Linked DNA regions of Zea mays. The protein of the gene in region 1 interacts with the protein of each later gene in a pairwise test. Links are inferred from orthologs where the notes say so. Each region holds a gene or a part of one and is shown in the gene's direction. Other genes may lie near its edges.

Region 1 (3,997 bases):
TGACGGAGTAGGTGTGTTTTTTAGTTCTCTGCGTGCAAGCCTGAAAGAGCGAGGAAACGTTTACCACGCCAGAGACGCCACCAAGAAATTGACTTGTACGACTTGCAAACGGGCATCATAAACAGGTAACGCGCTACGACATATACTCGCATACGTGGTGCATCTACACAACAGTCCCGCACCCGATAATGAAATGAGAGTAATTTTATCGACGCGCATTGAGAGCTTATTTGGATACTCTATTATTCATCCAAATACACATGAGTTAAAGACAATTGAGGCGTAAATTAAACTAATTTATATATAATCTATCTCAAACCATATGTATCGTGGTGAATAATAGACTCTTCAAACATAGCCGGCTGATCTGATTTCACCCGCTTTCATTGTCATGCTTGCCATATCATAGCAAATCCGAAGCGAGCACGAAAAGAATGGCGATCACTGTGGTTGCAGCCCTTACACAGGCTGCTTTACCACTTCACTGACAGACCGCAGGTACTACCTGCTGCAGCGACCACTCTATTACCAGTACGTACCTGGTAGTACGTACATGCGCCGAGCTACTGTGTACGGTTACCAACCAAAATGACGCGTGTTCGCGGCGCCGTGGAAGTGCGCGCCGGCCCGAGTTTCCCCCATACCGAACCGAGCCGACGAGCGGTGACTCAGCATGCACCAGCTGCCCCCCATTCGGCGCCTGCCCGCATGCAGTGCACCGGGCCACCGCCGCTCGGCACTGGCAGGCACCAGCAAGCCCGCAACGTGCGGCACACCGCACACCGGACTGTCAGCCGCGGCCGGCCGCGCCCCCTGCATCTTGCAGCGGCAGTTCTCTCATCTCTGCACGGCGTGGCTCCTATCTGCGTGCGCCTCGCTTTTTCCCAGGTTCACCTCCCCTCGCCCCCATCGTGGCCACGCCAGCGCCCAACCACCGCTCGCCGGCCCGCCTCCCCCCACGCAAGCCCTGTACACGTGTCCACCGGTACCGCGACCGACCACCTTCCCACTGATTGCGACCGCCCCAACCACGTGTCCCTTCTCCATCACTACACCCGTTCCCTCGTGCTCCCGCCCTGAGACTCTCTTTCTCGCTGGCAGGTGGGCGACGCTTCAGCCAGTCCCCACATGTCATCGAATCCTGAACAAAGAGCGGTAGGGAAGAGTACGTACTACTGTGGAGTCCGGATATTTTTCTGGGCAGCCCGAGAGACAGAACCCATGTGGTGGGGACCGCAATAGTAGGCATCAATAAATCAGCTGCCGAGGCGGACTGCCCCACCCACCCCAGGAGCGCCACGTGTGTGCAGCACAGGGATTAGGCGATAAACACACCATCAAACTTCCTCGTGGGCCCGCACCTCGCCCGCCTCGGTGGCCGATGCACACCACGTGTCGATCGCGCTGAGCAAGATACCGGCACGCGTCCGGATCCTGCCGGGACGGACGGCCCCGGTGCGCCGGACCAGGAGCACGTCGCAACAGCTGTACGTGTCGAGGCGCTGCCCGTGACGGCGACGGCCCCCCTGCCCGGCTGCCCCTGCCCGCCTCGCCTCGCCTCTCTTGTACTGCCCCCACGAAGCATTCGTGCTCGTTTCGCCTCGCGCCCGCGCTGCTGTCCTGCTGCTGCTATTTTGCCATTGCATCCATTTCCGGGGGACGGAGTGGAGGAGGAGGGCGTCGCCTGCGTTGCTTCGCGTGGGAAGCGTAGCGTGCTTCGTTTAGGCCTCTCGCCAATATCCGAGGGTTAATCTAGAGAGGCCTTTGGCTTTGCCAGACGCGCCTGTACGCGCCTTTCTGGGAGGCAGCCGCTTGCTCTCGCCTCCAATGGCCGAGATCTGCTGCGAAGAAGCCAAGTCCACGCCGGCGACCGCCGTGGCTGCGGCTTCAGTCTCCGCCACGGCCGCTGCGGCCGCCGCCGTGGCAGTGGCCTCCTCGGCGTTAGAGAGGAGGCGACGCAGGTTGGAGATGAGGAGGTTCCGCGTCGCGGGCGATCCCGAGGCGCCGGTCGCGGAGGACGTCCGCGCCGCCAAGCGGCAGAGGCTGGCGCGCACGCTGTCCAGCACCTGCCCCGACGCGGGCTCAGGCTCGGGCTCGGACTCCGACAGGCCTGCCCTACCGGAGCGGTTGCCCAGGTACGGGGTCACCTCCGTCTGCGGCCGACGCCGCGAGATGGAGGACACGGTCTCCGTTAGGCCGGACTTTGTGCCCGGCACCAGCAAACAGCACTTCTTCGGCGTCTTCGACGGCCACGGCTGCTCCCACGTACGCCATACTCGTACACGACGCGCGCGCATCTAGGAGTTTAAATCCCTTTTGCGGAGTTCTGTATGCTGATCGCAGTTTCGCGCTTTTGCTGTAGGTAGCAACCATGTGCCAGAACATGATGCACGAGGTGGTCGCGGACGAGCACAGGAAGGCAGATTGTTCTGGCGAAGAGACGGCGTGGAAGGCCGTGATGGAGAGGAGCTTCGCGCGACTGGACGAGCAGGCCGCCAGCTGGGCGACCAGCCGCAGCCGCGACGAGCCCTCCTGCAGGTGCGAGCAGCAGAAGCCCTTGCGTTGCGATCACGTGGGGTCCACCGCCGTGGTCGCCGTCGTCAGCCCCACCCACGTTGTCGTCGCCAACGCCGGCGACTCCCGCGCCGTCCTATCCCGCGCCGGCGTCCCCGTTCCGCTGTCCGTCGACCACAAGGTCTGTATACTCGTGCATCACGGGGCTGAGGGCGCTGCGCCTCCTCCCCTGTCCCCTCCCCGCGTCTTCGTCGCCTGTCCGTGAGCCTGACGTGCTCAACTTCCTGATTCGTTCAGCCTGACCGGCCTGACGAGCTGGCGCGCATCAAGGCGGCGGGCGGCCGCGTCATTTACTGGGACGGTGCTCGTGTTCTCGGCGTCCTCGCCATGTCTCGAGCCATAGGTGAGCTGGGCTCATTCGGGGTCGTTTTGGGTCCACTCGTTGGACTTGAACTGACGGGTTTATGCGCGCGCGTGCAGGCGACGGATACCTGAAGCCGTTCGTGTCGTCGGAGCCGGAGGTAACGGTGACGGAGCGCACCGACGACGACGAGTGCCTGATCCTGGCCAGCGACGGCCTGTGGGACGTCGTGACCAACGAGATGGCGTGCGAGGTCGTCCGCGCGTGCTTCCACAGCAACGGTCCGCCGGCGCCGGCCGCTCGGGCGAACGGCGCGGCCCTCCGGGCAGCCGAGAACGGATCCGCGGCCGCCAAGGGCGTGAGCGTGGAGGATTCCGACAAGGCGTGCTCCGACGCGGCCATGCTGCTGGCGAAGCTGGCGCTGGCCCGGCGGAGCGCCGATAATGTTAGCGTGGTCGTCGTGGATCTCCGCCGGGGGATATGATTTGCCTTCCTTCCTTTTTAGCCCTCTTGGAATCCAAGCTAATTTCTCCCCCGTTTTCTTCCATACTTTTAGGTTCTGTTTTGGTTTAGTATTAATACTGTAGTAGTTACCAACCAGACGCTTTTCTTCTCTCAAACGAGGAATTAAAAGCCAGTCGGACCAAGGAAATAGAACATCGAATTGCACACAGATGCACAAGGTAGTGGTAATCGTTAATCATAGCTTTTTTTGGCCGTCGATTAACGCGCTAAAAAGTGCTGATTCCATTCTTTGACTGAAGTAGATTAACGGGGCGATTGGTGTAGAAATTGGCGCTAAGACCACGTTTAGCGGGAGCAGATTGCGATTGGTTGGCCCAGGCAGGCGGTAGGATTCGGAGACGGATTAACAAAGGCACGGCAAGATGCTGATCTATCTGTGGGGTGTGGGCCCGTCGTCTATCGAGTGAAGGGAAATGCTCCGAAGTTCTCGTTTACGGAAATGAGAAACGGGCATCTTTCCACAGGGGCGGCCTGGGCCTGAATGATGCGACGACCCACGATCAATGGTTACCTTTCGCCCGCGGCGTCGTGCGTGGGCGGCGAGGCGACAGAGCATTTGCCTTTGTCCGACTGTCCGTTGGGCGATCGACCGGTCGG
Region 2 (4,074 bases), about 1.4 Mb from region 1:
TCTTAGCCCGAGTCCGAGCCCTGGGGTCGGGCGGAGCGGAGTTCGCCGTCTTCCGGGTCTTAGCCCGAGTCCGAGCCCTGGGGTCGGGCGGAGCGGAGTTCGCCGTGGCGCCTTTGGCAAGGCCTGACTGCGTGTCAGACTCACTCTGTCGAGTGGCACTGCAGTCGGAGTGGCGCAGGCGGTGCTGTCCTTCTGTCAGACTGGCCAGTGGAGCAGTGGAGTGACGGCGGTCACTTCGGCTCTGCCGGGGGCGCGTGTCAGGATAGAGATGTCAGGCCGCCTTTGCGTTAAATGCCCCTGCAATTTGGTCAGTCGGTGCGGCGATTTAGTCGAGGTTGCTTCTGAGCGAAGCCAAGGCCTCGGGCAAGCCGGTGATGTGTCCGCCATAAAAAGGGGGCCTCGGGCGAGACAGAAGTCTCTCGAGGTCGGTTGCCTTTGGCCGAGGCTAGGCTCGGGTGAAGCGTGATCGAGTCACTCGTGTGGACTGATCCCTGACTTAATCGTACCCATCAGGCCTTTGCAGCTTTATGCTGATGGGGGTTACCAGCTGAGAATTAGGCGTCTTGAGGGTACCCCTAATTATGGTCCCCGACAAAACTAGGATAGTTATAAGTGACCCAATTATTCCTCTTCCCCTCTTCCTCCCTCCCTCTCTCTATCTCTCCCTCTCTTGGGTAACATGGATACCACATATTCCCTAAAATCATATTTAAGGTTTTAAACTTAAATGTGGTAATTGTTTCTACAAATGGTATTTAGTTTCATGTTTTGTTGTGTTTAGTAAATTGTAGAAGAACCAACATTAACTAGATTTTTTTCTACTATTGTGAAGGTCCCATAGAGTGGAATCAGTTTTTTAGAGAGACCATAGGCAGGGATAACTATCAAGCAACATGGAACAACTTGTTAATTTAAAGCCCAATAAAGCTTCATCCTTTGGTGGTCCCAATAAAAGGTGTGTGGTGGGTAGTGCCGCCCACGCGGATATGCTAATAACCCTCCTTGTACTCCAGAACCTGCCTTTCCACACATAATGAGCATACCTACAAGCCATATTCCCATCCACATTCATCCCCCAACACCCACTCGTCCACCCACCGTTTTCCTTGTCTTCACTTTCCTCACGCAATTCACCCACCCCCTCACCATTTCCCCCATCGACCATTGCTGCCACATACCAAACCCACTTCCTGTGGTCTTCGGTGTCTTCCCCGCCGCCGCCGCTGCCGTCGCCGTCGTGCATCACACTGTCCCTCTTGCTGTGATATCTATGAGAGGTATGGGACTATTGACACCCTTCAAATCGTATTGCTAGTAAATTCTTTGACAAGGATGTTGACTGCCAACTGTCACTTCTACCTCACCACCTATCTTGATGTTGCTATGATTGGGGACCATACCCCTAACCTCAATAGCCATCAGATCTATCTCCCCTATCCACCCAAAATCTAAAGCCACTACATCTAATCCCAAAACCTAACCACACTTGAGTGCTACATGTCAAGGATCACATTTTTTATAGAAAACAAGTGCCCTCTTATTTAACCTTTACCCCTATTTTTATGTACTGCATTTTGTTTTTTCTTATTTTTCTACAATTTTTATGGAATAGTGCTATGGTTGAAATTACAAATACTTGAATTAAGTACAATTTATATAGACATCTTATAATGGGACGTTGGACTACATTGTTACCACACACATCCATATGTTTCCAGTTTTTAGAATTTGAAGGGGCACCCCTGGTCCATTAAATTACTTATCATGACCAAGAAATGGTTCTAGTAAAGCATTATAGTTCAAACTTTCAAAAGAATCTCCCTCTAGTAGTATAGAATGATTACAAAGATATCAGATCATGACATTGTGCTAGAGGCCATAATTGCAGGTTAGCCAATCTTTCTTCTATTATGTATTGTGTTAGTGCTGACCAAGCTCCCAAACATGTCTTTGGTCATGGTCCATTCATTAGGAGTCATCCATGCCATCTTGCGAGTTCCTCTATTCTAGAGATGGCCTTGTATTGTTGCATGTGTCCCAAGGGGCACAATTGCTCCAACAGTTTGAATATAGATCACCATAGTTACTGCAAAGAGCTTAATTTCTTGCATAGAAAGAATTGAGTTATTTGAATTTCCACAAGCTTCATCTTATAAAAGAGCATAACATGTTCCTAACTGTGATTTTCTCTCTCTCATACATCCAGGTTCTTTCAATGGATACATACCCTTAAATAGAGCATATACTAGTTCATCTCTTCCTTATTAAAATAGATAATGGGATCAATTTGGATGACATCCTCCTAATTTATAACAAGATACTCTCTTGACATACCTTAAAAGTACATCTAAGTCTAGACCCATTCCACAACTCCACAATAGTAGCAATCTGCCCATGCATTAGTACAAAAGTAAGGGTCCCAAAAACTTATACCAAGGTTAGATGAGTCTAGCCAATAATTGTCTTCCCAAAATCTCATCCTTTTCCATTTCCAATCTTCTATTTGTACCCTATTTTAGCTACCTAGACATCCAAACAAAACCCTTCCAAAAGATGATAGTTGTTAGTATCTTTACATGTAAGGCATTAGGGATTGTAGTACTATATTTGAGGTCTATGATTTGTTTCCATAGTTGGTCATCTCCAAATCGTACCTTTTTACCCAAGAAGCTAATGGAATAATATTACGATGTCTCAAGTCAGGGACACCAAGCTGACCATACTCTTTTCTAAGATAAATAGTCATCCAGTTAACAAGATGGTAAACCCCATGACCTTCAAATTCAAACTACAACTAGTGATCCATGTAGGAATTGATAAGCTAAATTGTCCACTTGAGAAACTTGATGAAAGATCAAAGGTACATGGACCAGTATGCTAAGCATGTTTTCATCAAAATCAATCTCCTGCTATATGTGAGAGAAGTCACCTACCTCTCCACCTTGCAACCTTTTAATAATTTTGACATCAATTGGATGTATATATTCTCTCCGCCTCCATTTGCTTCTATTTTCACAGTCAATATTACTCATCAGATGGTGTAGTATGATATAAGCACCACAATCAAGACAATAGTATATATGGTGCTCTAAAGGCATTGTTTTTATCTTACTAGATGCATATGTAGTTATCAATCATTTATCTACCTAGCCATGTGATTAAATACCTCATGTATGCATAAAACATTATGCACTCATGAATATATTTTAAGCTCATATTTCATTAATATGTCACACATGGTAGTCATTGCTAGCTCCAAGTTGAAAACATTTCTCCTATTATTTTGATTAAATAGGAGGACATGGGCTACTAAAAATTATTTAAAAAACTAGAGCATAAAAGTGCATAGTTCAAGACACAAAAAAGTCAAAATGAAAACCTAAGGAATTACAAAAAGGCTTGTAGCCATAAATCGATACTTGGATTATAACGTGTTTTTGCTCTAAGAATAACTAGAGCAAACTCTTTCCTGAAAACTACCTTGCACTTTGGAATTGAAAGCACAATATTGTTGAAAATGTTGTCATTACGCATTATCCAAAATGGCCCAACACATCTCGATTAGAATCTCCATGAAGAAAGAAAGATGAAGTTGATCTCTAACACTTCCAAATAACCACTATTAGGGAGTATAAATAGATTCAGAGAAGACAAACAATCCAAAGCAAAAGGGTAGTCCAACATAAGGTGAAAAAGATCCACTTCAACATCTAGTGAGCAAATGATGCAATTGCAACAATCTAAATGCATGTTTTTATATTTAAGAAGCGCTATATTACTCAACTAATTTTTTAGAATAAGGCAAAAGAAGATTTTTTTTATTTTTTCAAGCAAACTTCCATGACCGCTTGAAGGCTTGATGAATGTGTTGATATCATATAAGCAATTTATAAACTGTTCTTGAGGAGAAAATTTGTGATCCCCAAATGTATCTCCAAATCATTGTCTATTTGTAGATGTACTATAAGGAGGGTAGTGGAGAAAACTTGAAATTATTTGTATACCTCAATAGATAGAGGTAAATAAGAGTGTAGTAAAGGAGTAGAAGTTGCCCCATGAAGAGAAATATTCCAA
Region 3 (4,209 bases), on another chromosome or scaffold:
CTAGGAGTTAGTACCACTGGTCCGGGAGTGGACTGGGTGTTACAATCTTCACCGCTACATCCATCATAGTTTGATGCGACATATTGAGTACCTCATCTTCGGTCATCTCAACATCGAGCCACATCGAGCCCGAGGAAGACATGGCAAGGGTGGTTTGGTCAAGTGAAAGGAGAGTGAGAGGACTGATATACAGAGTGATAGAAGAGAAATAGAGAGTGGGGAGTGTGAATGAACCAAACATCCCTTCATTTATAGACCACATTCCATATATTTTTTTTTAAAAAATTGTATTTCAAACTCTTTAAAAAAGACTAGCTGATGTAACACATGTGGACTAATCAAAACGTCCAACATCGCTAAAGACGGCTGGTATTGACCGAACCAACAAATCATAATCGCTCTCGTATCTCCAACCGATCGACTATCCATGAGACCAATCGGTACTCGGCGCTAGCACAACGAGGTTGGTACTGACCGATCGACGTAACCAACCAACACCAGCAATCGATAAAATCGCGCAGTTAGAACCAACCTTCATAGCAACTTGCTAAACTATTATCCCTTCTAAGAGCAACTCCCGTTGTTCTTTAAAAGACTTACTAAATCAATAATTTAGGTAGTCAACATAAGAACTCATCTCCAACATTTCTTTAAATAAACTTACTTAATTTAGCAACTTCTCATCTAGCCTCATTTTCTCTCTACATTTGGCAACTATTTAGCAACTCCGTAAAAAAATGTTGACTGCATTATATAGATAATGAATGTAATTGATGATATTTGTGACTTATTTTTATATGGATAGATACAAAACAAAACTATAAATATAAAACTATTGGTGAACTTACACTTTTTAACTCCCAAAGTTATTTAACAACTTCTTAAATATGTGATTTATAAAGCTAAAATTTAGATAATTATTATTGGAGTTGCTCGTACATTGCTCTCCGATAGCTTAACAACACCATTATGCGACGTGCATGGGGCCTTGTTTTAGAAAAAAAACATGTCTACACCTATCTCCAAACCAAAAAAAAGGCAACGAGATAATGCCGTCCGCCATGGGGCCATCCGGCCATCCATGTTTTCACGAGCAAACCGAAGCAAAAGTGGCGAACTCGGAGGGCATATCTGGCATTCCTAATTCTAGTAGGCCCTTGCTTGTAAGCGGCACCCAATAGCATAACAACCACACCTGAGGCTGCGGCCTTTGTGCCATCCAGGGGTCGTCGTCGTCACTCTCTCCCTCTCGCCCTCGCCATCGCCATCGCCCTCGCGGTCTCGCCGCGGCATAAACAAAACAAGCAAAGCAAGGCAAAGGCAAAGGCAAAACCCCACCTCCTCGCTCCGCACCTCGTCGTCTGCTTTTCCTCGGTGCGGAACACAAGCCCCTGCCGCCTCCATTACCGGGCTGTGCCTGTGCGAGGCTGCGAGCGTGGTGGCTGTGTCTGGCTTTGCGGCGGCGGCGGTGATGGTGGTGGAGATGGACGGAGGCGTGGGAGTAGCAGCAGCAGGAGGAGGAGGAGCGCAGACGCCGGCGCCGCCGCCGCCGCGGCGGTGGCGCTTGGCGGACGAGCGGTGCGACCTGCGCGCCATGGAGACGGACTACGTGCGGCGGTTCCACCGGCACGAGCCCCGCGACCACCAGTGCTCCTCCGCCGTCGCCAAGCACATCAAGGCGCCTGTCCACCTTGTGAGCGCCTGCCTCTCTCTCTCAATCTCTTCCTTCCATTCCACGCCGCTGAATCAGATATATCAATCCCTCGCCTACTGCCTGCTCTGCTATGCTTTTTCTCCGCGCCGCCGTGCCGTTTCCACGTTTCCATGGCGAGAGTATGTAGGGTGTTGTGTCGCGCTCGCGCAGTCGATCCGCCGCCGAGACATCGTTTCGATCGGTTTCTCGATTTCTCCTTTTGTCTGGCCGGGTCCCGCCGCCCGGCGCCCCCGGTTTTGGAGTGCCGATGCGCGGCTCCTTGATTAGGAAACAAGGATGCCCGATTTGGATGCCGTCTTGAACTTGAACCGGCCCTGCTCTGCTTCTGCTTGCTCGTCTCTCCCGTCGTCATCCTTTCTCTCTTTTCACGCGATTGGTCGGGCGGATCCATTGCTGGGAGGACCCACGTCGCTTTAGCCGAAATCTAAGATTTGCATTTCCTGCCAAGAAACCGCCTGTGAATTTTTTTCTGAGCTCTCGCGAGATGAACATGAGAGATGCATGATTGGTTGCAAAGGCAAATGATACACACAGAAAAGCCTCGACGATTTTTAATTCGCCGTTCTGTAGTACTGTAACCTCGTCTCACCGTGGGTGGGAAGATGCTTCCCCCCCACCCGCACCTCGCGAGATGCCCGCTCGCTGAATCTGCTTTCCGCCAGATTAATTACTTTGAGATTTCTATCTAGCTGCTCATGCATTGTTTTGCTGGCCTGTATCCCCCGCGTTATTAGGCTTTGAAGTGTTGCCGCTTTATTCTGCAAGTAATCTAGTAATCGAGACGGTCAGACGGCGGTGGTGGTGGTGGGAGGGAGGGAGATACGCTTCACTTCACTTGGACTCCACTCCTTTTGGACGTGGTTCAGCTTCAGCACAAGATCAGATGCAAAACTAGTAATCTTACCCAAAAAAAACACATTAGCTTTTGCATAATTATGCGATGCGATGCACTGAATTGATTACTGTTTCAGAGGGAACCATCGTTTCTGGCTGACTTTCCAGCCCAAGTTTTCAGCATATTCCAAAAGGATGCTTGTGAATATGCTTAGCAACCTCAAGGGCTCTAGGCCTCATTTTATAACTGTGTACTGTGCCTCTGATTAGAAGAGATGTCATATTCCTCAAGCGTGTTTAGTTGACTTGTAGACAGTACACCGTTCATGCCATTTTTCCTGTTACAATTCCTGGCGATGGTTCAGCTGAGCCTGGTCGAGCTGTGCAGTTAGCCGGTCGGTTAGGGTGTTTATGCAGAACACTTAATACTACTTGAATAGCAAGCAACCGGGGACCTGTTTATTCCTTCGTCTGTTACATTGAAAGTGTGGATTAATCAATCTTGGTCACCTGCTTAAAGCTTAACCATACATTGAAGTGCCTGATGATCGAGTAATTGTCTTGTCTCTCAGGTCTGGTCCCTGGTGAGGCGGTTCGACCAGCCACAGCTCTTCAAGCCCTTCGTGAGCCGGTGTGAGATGAAGGGGAACATCGAGATCGGTAGCGTCAGGGAGGTCAACGTCAAGTCCGGGCTGCCGGCCACAAGAAGCACGGAGAGGCTCGAGCTGTTAGACGACGACGAGCGCATTCTCAGCGTCAGGTTCGTTGGAGGCGATCACAGGCTGCAGGTATGCTCTGTTCTTCATCTATCTATATTCTGTGCTGCCCATGCGAGATATTTTGCCCACCACCTCAAATGCGTCCTGGAGTTCCTCTGCCAGATGCATCTTGATGTGCTGCCCTGCGACGATGCCATCCTCGAGTGATAGCCCCCCAACAAACTCTTGTCGTCTATCTAACCAGAAAACAAGCAGCGGTTGTTGTTGTTGTTATGTACCGGGTGATGTTTGCATGCTCTCAACTCCAAGCATGGCACTGACTTGCCATCCTTTGACCTTACATGCCAAGTTCATCGCATGAGCACCTGTCACTCGCTGTCGCTTGTCGTGCTCCGTCCGTTTGCCCTCACTCGTCATCAGCCAGCGATAGCAACAAGTGGCCCATGGTCACAACTCACATGCGTTGCACCTGGATAATGGACGATGGACGCCACCTGGATATAAGTTTATCCGGCCCTGACCCCCTTGGGTTGGTTGCAAGAACGCCAGCGTGTGTGAAAGCTGACGACTAGTCTAATTCATCGATCTGCTGCATCTCACCTTCCTTTTCCTTTGCCCGCAGAACTACTCCTCCATCCTCACCGTCCACCCGGAGGTCATCGACGGCCGGCCAGGGACGCTCGTCATCGAGTCCTTCGTCGTCGACGTCCCCGACGGCAACACCAAGGACGAGACCTGCTACTTCGTGGAGGCGCTGCTCAAGTGCAACCTCCGGTCACTCGCGGAGGTGTCCGAGGGCCAGGTCATCATGGACCAGACGGAGCCCCTTGACCGGTGAATAATGAGTCGGACCATTATATTGCATTGCATTCTGTGTACGCGTAGACCTGTTCTCCAATGCATGGAGCCCCTAGGTTCTTGGAAAACTGCTATGCCGCGTTC

Evidence for each region.
Region 2: the proteins of Probable protein phosphatase 2C 9 (region 1) and AT-rich element binding factor 3 interact in binary tests that used the Arabidopsis thaliana proteins (3 or more experiments, as listed by UniProt). The link is inferred for Zea mays from reciprocal best matches to the Arabidopsis thaliana genes HAI3 and PYL6.
Region 3: the proteins of Probable protein phosphatase 2C 9 (region 1) and uncharacterized LOC100272864 interact in binary tests that used the Arabidopsis thaliana proteins (3 or more experiments, as listed by UniProt). The link is inferred for Zea mays from reciprocal best matches to the Arabidopsis thaliana genes HAI3 and RCAR3.

The regions. Positions count from the first base shown.
Region 1 is NC_050103.1:175,000,011-175,004,007, reverse strand, and holds Probable protein phosphatase 2C 9, read left to right. Parts: upstream 1-1,565; 5' UTR 1,566-1,827; coding exon 1,828-2,265; intron 2,266-2,362; coding exon 2,363-2,695; intron 2,696-2,811; coding exon 2,812-2,917; intron 2,918-2,994; coding exon 2,995-3,359; 3' UTR 3,360-3,495; downstream 3,496-3,997.
Region 2 is NC_050103.1:176,436,292-176,440,365, reverse strand, and holds the start of AT-rich element binding factor 3, read left to right. Parts: upstream 1-1,186; 5' UTR 1,187-1,270; coding exon 1,271-1,277; intron 1,278-4,074. UniProt on the Arabidopsis thaliana protein: Receptor for abscisic acid (ABA) required for ABA-mediated responses such as stomatal closure and germination inhibition.
Region 3 is NC_050099.1:232,111,166-232,115,374, reverse strand, and holds the start of uncharacterized LOC100272864, read left to right. Parts: upstream 1-1,353; 5' UTR 1,354-1,471; coding exon 1,472-1,693; intron 1,694-3,120; coding exon 3,121-3,474; 3' UTR 3,475-3,889; coding exon of another isoform or gene 3,890-4,105; 3' UTR 4,106-4,209. UniProt on the Arabidopsis thaliana protein: Receptor for abscisic acid (ABA) required for ABA-mediated responses such as stomatal closure and germination inhibition.